Linked DNA regions of Nothobranchius furzeri. The protein of the gene in region 2 interacts with the protein of the main gene of each other region in a biochemical or structural test. Links are inferred from orthologs where the notes say so. Each region holds a gene or a part of one and is shown on either strand. Other genes may lie near its edges.

Region 1 (4,421 bases), on a different chromosome or scaffold from region 2:
TTTTTCTAATGATCTCTTCTGTATTTCTTGTTATTTTGTGGAATTTTTTGTGTTCCACATTTATACCTAAAATGTGTTTTCTTTAAAGTAATCATTACAAAATAATTAGTTTTAAACGTTTTTTACAGATATTTTGTTGAACTCCATTTACATTCAGGGGATTTTCACACTTCAGCCCAGAGCTCTTCACCAGTTGCATACTCACCTGCTAGAATAAACCGTGCAACGCAGCTGGCATGGACCGCTAGCCTACTTTAGCAGCACCAAAAGCTTGCTAAAAAAGCTTTTAACTAGATTATAAACAGGGCATCATGCTGAAACTTGCTAATTCAAACATCTTCTAACCTTGTTTCATGAAAGTGACTTGACTGATTGAAATTCACAAAACACTCAAAAGCAGATCCCCTGATGTTTAACCCTTTCATGCACTATGGTCAGACAGAAGCTGTCGGGATACTTGCAATTAAGCCACCACTTTGATTCTAGTGCATCACTTTATTGGCTGCTAATTATGTCTGTGAATTAAGTTTCAATGGCATTTTTATCATTTAATTAAGATAATTATGGGGCGATGGTGGCAGAAGAGTTGCGTGCCTACCCAGTAATCCTAAGGTTGAAGGCTCGAGCCCCGCTCATGGCTAGGTTGTGTCTTTGGGCAAGACCCTACACCCCCCTTGTCTGCCGATGGTGGTTGGAAAGGGAGTGGCCGGTGGCCTCGCCCCTGTCAGTGCGCCCCAGGGCAGCTGAGTCAATAATTTGTCGATTTTTCACAAATCTAAATGCATGTTTGAGTGGATATTTGAAAAAAAGTTTTGAAGGAAACAAAGTTCAAATTCAGTTTAAACGTATGTGTTTTGCACCTAAAGATGAATAAGGATGGTTGGGGTGGAGAGGGTGTGTGTGTGTGTGTGTTTATGTATATTCATTTAGGAGACGCTTTTATCCAAAGCGACTTACAATTTATAACCTATAGGGCATGTTGTGATCTGTGGGGGAAACCGGAGTATCCGGAGGAAACCCACGCATGCATGGGGAGAACACGCAACTCCACGCAGAAAGGCCGCAGTTGAGCCGAGTTTCGAACCTGCAACCTTCGTGCTGCCAGGCAACAGTGCTAACCACTGCGCCACCGTGCAGCCCGTGTGTGTGTGTGTGTGTGTGTGTGTGTGTGTGTGTGTGGAGGAGGGGGGGGGGGGTCCACCCTTGACCTCTGTCATAATTCATGCATGAATGAGCAAAACTACCACGGCCTTTAATGTGTGTTCACTTTTCAGCGGACCCATTTTCACTGGCAAGACGAGGAGAAGCACACATGTACTAACAAGGGCAGCATTCCAAACATGTGGCTGCACACTTTGGTTGTTCGAATACTAATGAGCAGAACCTCTAAATGGGATGCAGCCACAGTAGACTTTCTCTACTCTCTCATTTAGAGCTGTACAATATAAGAAACTATTATAATTCTGTTGAATATAATCATTACTGTATAACTTCTTATACATTCATAGTTTTGTCACGTAAATTTCCGCATGCTGATTTTTGATTTAACACACTGTCTACATTCAATAAAACATGTCAAAAGGGCTCATATTGTTTCTCCTCAGCTCATCTGTACCTGTACCTCTTACTCATATCTGTCATCCTTCACCTGCACTCACTCATCTGCACGTCCACTACCAGATCCTCGTCTTTATCACCCTGTCACTTTTAATTGTTAGGTATTTTTTTCATCCTTGCACCTTTCTGGACTATCACCTGCCTGCTATGCACCTTTTGGTCTAAATCATTTAATAAACCGCCAAACTCGGCCATGTTTCCCTTAGCATAACGGACATATAGCGGATGAGACATCTTTACTGGGCATGTCAAATGTTTAACAACACTAAAAACCCAAGAGATTAATGAAATAAGAGCATGGAGCTGAGCATGGCTAGAGTAACCTGCATGCTTCTGAAGGGCGTGTCTCAAGCACAAAGAGGACAGTTAAAACAATCTAAGACAGCTCCAAGGAGCAAACGTTCTGAGGATCTCTGCTAAAACAGAAACCCGGCGTTGGCTGCGTGATGAGTGAGATTACTCCAGGGTGAAGAGGAGAAACAGCTTGCTACTGATCAGAAACAGTCTTTTTAGTGATCACCACGGAGCTGGAGCTCATGCAGCAAGGTGCACTTCATAAACGTGCACATGCTTTCATGACGGCAGAGGGAAACAAAAAATAGGCTACAAGGTCCAAGCGTCTCTCTGCAAAGGCACAAAGACGCGCAGCCAGAGCACGTTGGGCCGCTGTCACGCGCGATAATCTCCCGAATATCGCTCAAATTTGGGTCAATCAGAAAGTAAAAGCGTTTCCACAGCAAACCCCCGCTCATCGCTGCGACCCCCACACACTCCGGCCTCGGATGGATTGATGCACAGCCAGCTGAGATGAAATGGGGGGGGGATCCCGTTCTCAGTGCAGAATCAACGCAAGCGCGCAAAATCCCATCAGCGCTTCACGAGAATTACAAAGACACCATTCACACCACACGTTTTAGTAAACTGGCGCTAAATAAATCTGTTAAAAACACATCTGGCGCACTCATCCACTCATGTACTACATCCGGCCATATTCCCAGCAGGCTGTCACATTCCAACAATTTTCCCGTCAAGCATTTTGAACAGATGAGAGGTGCAGAGACGGGCTCTAGCGAGAAGAGGAAGCGGTAGGAATGACATTGCGCCTGCTTACTGTAAAATAAAATCCCTCGGGGATGGAGAGTCTCCTTTCTTCCCACTTGACTCTCGACGTGCGAATTTCCCGAGATTCAGACCATGCAGAGCAGGCAGACGGTCATTCCACCCCTCCGAAGTCTTTGCTCCAGCTCGGTTAGTGAGAAGAAAGCCTGCATCAGACAGAGGGGAGACGCCAGCTGTGGGGAGGAAATGATGTGGGAAGGTAGGAGCGGCTGGGCCGGAGCACTGCGCACAGGAGGCAAGGAGAGCGGCAGAGGTGCTTCCCCTCCCTTCCGCGCCCTCCCTCTCTCTCTCTCTCTCTCTCTCTCTCTCTCTCTCTCTCTCTCTCTCTCTCTCTCTCTCTCTCTCTCTCTCTCTCTCTCTCTCTCTCATTGCTCACAATAAAACATCCTCCCCATCCGTGCCAGACAGACTGGCAGACCGCTTGGGTACCAGCGTCAGCAGCGACACCCACTGGTGATGGAGATTATTACTTATATATGGAGAACTGTTAGTGCCACAGGCGTGCAACAGCTGGTTAGTGTTTGCTCCATGGCAGCAAAGCTTAGAACAACATTGAGCACCTCTTAAGTCGAGGCTTTGGTCCCGATGTATGTGATTTTCAATGGGAGGGGGGGGGGGGGGGGGGGTTAAGCTGAGATAGGTTTATGATCCTTTTTCCCTTTTTCCTGTGTTAGTATGAAAAAATTATTCAATCGAATAAAAAAGGCCTACTTTAAACTTTTACTCCACTAAAGCAGTTATCAGTACTTTTTACTCCACTACATTTTCTAAAAGTTTCTAAATAAAAGTATTTTAATTTTCATTTTGTCCGACCACCACTGTTCTTGTCAATGGTGGACGTTACTATGGCAATAGTACTTTAAACTGCGTTGTGCCCCTTCCGCTGGTCTGACACAAGCCCCCATAATTCGGGTCTGAAACTGAAGCCAACACGGAAGTGAAAAAAATTGCAGTTCTACCCTCATCCACTAGGGGCTGGTGTCAGAAGCGAGCAAATCCTCATTAACTCCCATGTTAAAAGTACCAAATTCACAGCAGAAATAAACATGTTCACAGCCTGGTTCCAAAACTTGTTTTAGGTTTAAATGATCTAGTTTACACTCATGACAACTCTGAGGGGGCAGAATTTTGTCACTCTTCTGTTTAAGTGTATTAAATGCCTAAAATTCTGAATAATTAATGAGCATCAGGCCCACGTGACTGCAGCGCTAGCGCTGGGGAAAGGCCTCAGCCTGAGCCTCGGCCTCGCCTGAAAACTGTTCCGCCATTTTCAGTCTCTCAACTTAGACCATTAGTTGAAGCATTTGTGCGTTCCTTTTTGGATATTATTTGGACAGGCGCCGCTGCGATCAGAGATGCGCCGAGCTGCCGCTGAGGGGAGGGGACCATACCGATAGTCGGAACCCAGCTCCACAAACATGTCATATCTCAACACATTTTCAAAAACGCAGCGTTATGTTAAATGCACTGGGTCTTACCCTACATTTAAATTTCATGGTTAAACAGTACATGTTAAAATCTAGGCTCAGCTAGTGCAAGAGCGGCAGTGACCTAAATACAGTAAAAAAATCATTATTTTAACAAAATATCCCTTATAAAATCACACTAAAAACGTGCATAAAATAATGAGGCAGTATGTAAATTTAACAAGTAAACAACATTGTAATTTACTGTATGTTCAGTAA
Region 2 (4,530 bases):
CCCACTAAATCTGACAAACTCCAAGAAGTGATGATGAAAGAATGGGTTGCTATCAGTCAGGCTTTGGCCCAGAAGTTGATTGAGAGCATGCCCAGTCGAACTGCAGAAGTCCTGAAAAAGAAGGGCCAACACTCCAAATACTGACTCTTTGCATCAATGTCATGTAGTTGTTGATAAAAGCCTTTGAAACGCATGAAGTGCTTGTAATCATATTTCAGTACATCACAGAAACAACTAAACTAAAGATCTAAAAGAAGTTTAGCAGCAAATGTTGTGAAAACTACTATTTGTGTCATTCTCAAAACTTTTGGCCACGACAGTAGATTAAACAGAGATGGAGGTCTGGAGATTCAGCTGACTCAGAATCTGACCTCCAGGCAGTTTCACATCAACCCACATCATCAGAAACGGGATCAAAACATCGGAAACACAAAGGTTCTAATGGCCCTCAGGAGAAGGCCTGAGGGGAGTGATTTGTAATCTAGCTGGAAACAGAGTTGTTTAAAAGCTTTTAATGCTGCATTTTTTTTTTGTTTGAATCAAAAACTCTGAAGAGGAAAACCAAAATCTCCCCAATGAAGGTAATGACCACAAAGAAGCAACATATCAAAGCACAAAGAGGACTCAAATGCAGAGCTCACCCAGTTTTAATAAGCAGAAGGGATTCCTGGAGTACAACACAACTGAAAAGTCCAAATCTAACTGAATACACTTTTACCAAGTGTTTCTGAGAGCAGGTTCACATCACACAACAGGAGAAGACAAACTGGCAAAGGAAACTGTTGCAAAGACGCTTAAATGGAGAAGCCAGGACCCAGGTGCAAGACATGAGGCTGATTAGTGAGGAGCCTCATGTCGTGAAGCTGCCTGTAATGAGACAGGAAGTGAATGCACAAAATAAAACAGGAAGTACCAGAAATACAATAAAATCAGAAACAAGACTGCAAAGCACTCAACCTGCAGAATCACCCATGACACAACAGAACAACGTGGCAACAGCAGAAACCCGGCAAAGGGACAAAACTGAGGAGTATTCCTGCAGGGAGGGACGGTCCAGGTTAGATAATGGTACCAATAACTCTTAAAGAAATTCAATAATGTCACCTTCCTTCTACACTCAGTCTAATTTGAATCAAAACAAACCATTCTCTGAGCTTAACGTCCACAGGAGCCACATCAAAAACCAAAGATGAAGCTTCAGCAAACGTTTAAACTAATGCAACGACATCAGACGGAAACACAAACACGATTCGTAAACATCTAATAAGGGTTCAGTGATGGGACATAGATGTTGCTGAATATTAATGCTGCAGTTTGTGGACGGTCCCTAAACCCTCATTTCACATCCGGTGTTGTGCTGACTTCTGCTTCCCCATTAAAACCAACCCTCTCAGGCTTACACAGGCAACATAACACCTTCCGCACATAAACACCAATCATATATCAAATTCCTGCCACAACAGTTTTATACCTGGCCCTGACTGGGGTCTGTAGGATGGAAATGCACACCAACGTGATTAATTCACAAAAGAAAGCTACGGCATAACCTGCCGTTAAATGGAACAAACAATGTTTTAATCAACAAGTCTGCTGGAGTTTTCCTCCCTACGCATTTCAGAACATGCTCCCTGATCCACCGGTACATGTGTCAGGCCGTGTTCATACGTGGAAAATGCACATGAAGGAATGACCAAATCCCCATTCACATGTTTGTGATTTCTCCATGACGAGCGTGATGACGAGCATGTTCGATGCAATATACACACATGTAGACACGGAGCTCCCCTCAAGCCTGCAGACTCTGAGCTAACATGCAAATCAGAGGCAGCAACAGAGAGATGGAAAAGAGAAGAACGTCACAAACACAGAGGTGAATTTACCTACCACACATGGGCAGAGAGAAGGGAGCTTAGTGCGGCCCTTCATGAGCAAGAGACAGAGGAAAAACAGCCTCCCAGACACCCGCAGTAAAGGAGGGGAGGGATGGGGAGAAAGAAAGAAAGAAAGAAAGAGAGAGAGGGGGGGGGGTGCGAGGCTGGGGAAGGGGAAGAGGAAATAAAAAGAGAGGGAGGGCGAGACAAGAGGAGGGAGGGACGTGTCGTACCAGACGAGGAGCGAGAGTTTTCCTGGAAGCCAGAGTTGTTGCTGTTGGATATATCTTGATATTAAAGGCAAGAGGCTGAAAAGACGGGACGAGCGGTCTGCTCCGACCGTGACTCATAAAAATATGTTGGCTGCTGCCGATGAGTGAGGGAGGGACAAGGAGAGGAGACGTAGAGACAGTGAATCAACCCTCCGTAGTATGTTATCATCGCTGCCTCTTTCTTTTGCTCCTGCGCTGAAACAATGTCAGAAATAAAGAGCCCATAGAAAAGTGTCTGTTACATAAGAGGGAACTTGTTTCATAAATATTCAACATGCAGATTTCTGACACTTCTGTGCATCCATATCATTTTATTCTCTGTGCAGATCCTCCTTCACACGTCTTCATTTATCAGACTCATGCTGCTGATCCTCCTCGAAGATCCTGAACGACTACAAAGTTTTGGCCATTATTGGAGCCAGTCTAGTCTCTCCCGAAGGGGAAAAAGTAGATTCCTACAGAAAACTGGTCCAACATTGATGTCTGTCCTGCTTTTGCAGAATTCCCACGAGAATCTTAACAGGATGGTTTGTTGGGATGATAACACTCTGAGCTGTCCTGCTAAAACTTTTAAATTCTAAGGTTTGGTGGAAGACGTTTTCTGAGGTGAGCGAGACAGAGGAAGGACTGAAGCACTCATCCATCCATGGTCTTATATGTAACCAGGTTGCAGAGACTGCAGCCTTAGCAGAGATCCCTACACCTCCCCCCATTTCCCCAGCGACCTCTTCCAGCCCTACCGAGGGAAAACCAAAGCATTCCCACACCAGCTAGGAAATCTAACTACTCCATTCCTACTAAATCTGTTTGGAGGCCTCCTCCTGGTGGGTCATGCTGGAAACAGGTACCCAGAGGACATCCTTAGCAGATGTGCCAATGATCTCAGCTGGCTCACGCTGATGCAGAGGAGCCGTGATTCTCCTCGGCACTGATGAGCTGCTCAGATGAATCTGAACTCACTCTTCTCCACAGGAAGATGGTAATGTCCACATCATCGATGTTCAGGGACCATTTGGGTTTCATGGACCAACAGTGATCTTCCAGAACGCCTAGCAGTAACAACTGGAAGTGAGGTGTGCAGTCACAAGCATTCTTTAAGTCCACAACGTAAAAACTGGGATGTTTATGCTAGCATGTTCTTGAGTAACTGACAAGTGCGTTCTTGATAAGTACAGGAGAAAGTCCGTTCTAACGAATACGGGGGTACAAGGACGGCATTTGGATCTGAACCGTACTCCATTACGTCACGGCATGTTGAAGAAAAATATGTTACTTTTTCATCAAACAGAGCTGTTTAAAGCTACGTTGGTTTTATTTTAATAGTGGATGAGCTAAGTTTCATTTTGAGGTATTATAAAACCCACACAGCAAATGTATGGGTTACACGCACAGTTATCTATGGTGGGCTACACAGTTGTTAGCGTTAGGTTTACATTCCAACCTGGGGTCTTTCTGCATGGAGTTTGCATGTTCTCGCTGTGCATGCACAGGTTCTGTCCAGGTACTCCCACTTCCTCCCACAGTCCAAAAACATGACGTTCAGGTTGACTGGTGTCTCTAAAGTGTCCTTAGGTGTGAATGTTTGCATGGTTAATTGTTTATCCTGTGTGTCTCTGTGTTGCCCTGCGATGGACTGGCAATCTGTGCAGGGTGTACCCGCTTTTATACCCGTAGACTGCTGGAGATAGGCACTAGCCCCCCGTGACCCTGCGTGGACAAGCGGGTACAGATAATGAATGGATGGATGGACAATTATCTACAATAAGAAACAACTTTTAATTTATTTTTCTAGACTTCATTATTTGTATTTTTGACATGAATACTCTAGAGCTACGAGCTTTCTCCTATGCCATTTTCAGTTTGAGGTACAACGGTTTGTAATCCTAAGCATGATGAATTACAAGCCACTGTCCTTGCAGGCCCAAGTCTGCAGAAGGTTGCGTTGACGCAATCTTGAGGGAACTTGCCATGGTAGATTGGAACAATACTTGGGCCAGTGTTGATGATGATGCCATTTTCAGTGACGTTTCACAAGTACGCATATTGAGAAACTTGTCACGTTTCGGGGATGTTTAGGACCCAAATATGCAGATACCCAGGAGGACATGAGGCAGGAGTAAATATAAGGAAAAAATTATTTTATTAGAGTTTTAACAAAAATAAATCCAAGGCAACGAGCCTAAAGTCCAAAGTCCTGGAGCACAGGACACCCAAAGCTCTCAAAGAGCACGAAGACCAAAGACTTTGAAACAGAAGCTCACCTAGAGCACAAAGTCTGGGGACGAGACAAAAAGCTCATAAAGAGCACAAACAAACGCAGACAGAATACAAACAATGGGCCGACAAGAGACTGAGACAAGACAGGGCTTAAATACACAGGGAGGATG

The links.
Region 1: the proteins of disks large homolog 4 (region 2) and ctnnd2b interact in a test that uses a peptide from one of them, tested with the Homo sapiens proteins (2 studies listed by IntAct, with this or other methods). The link is inferred for Nothobranchius furzeri from reciprocal best matches to the Homo sapiens genes DLG4 and CTNND2.

The regions. Positions count from the first base shown.
Region 1 is NC_091751.1:61,421,814-61,426,234, forward strand, and holds the start of ctnnd2b (catenin delta-2b), read right to left. Parts: upstream 3,019-4,421; 5' UTR 2,729-3,018; intron 1-2,728. UniProt on the Homo sapiens protein: Has a critical role in neuronal development, particularly in the formation and/or maintenance of dendritic spines and synapses. Involved in the regulation of Wnt signaling.
Region 2 is NC_091750.1:46,441,867-46,446,396, reverse strand, and holds the start of disks large homolog 4, read right to left. Parts: upstream 3,083-4,530; 5' UTR 2,222-3,082; coding exon 2,105-2,221; intron 2,014-2,104; exon of another isoform or gene 1,927-2,013; coding exon of another isoform or gene 1,885-1,926; intron 1-1,884. UniProt on the Homo sapiens protein: Postsynaptic scaffolding protein that plays a critical role in synaptogenesis and synaptic plasticity by providing a platform for the postsynaptic clustering of crucial synaptic proteins.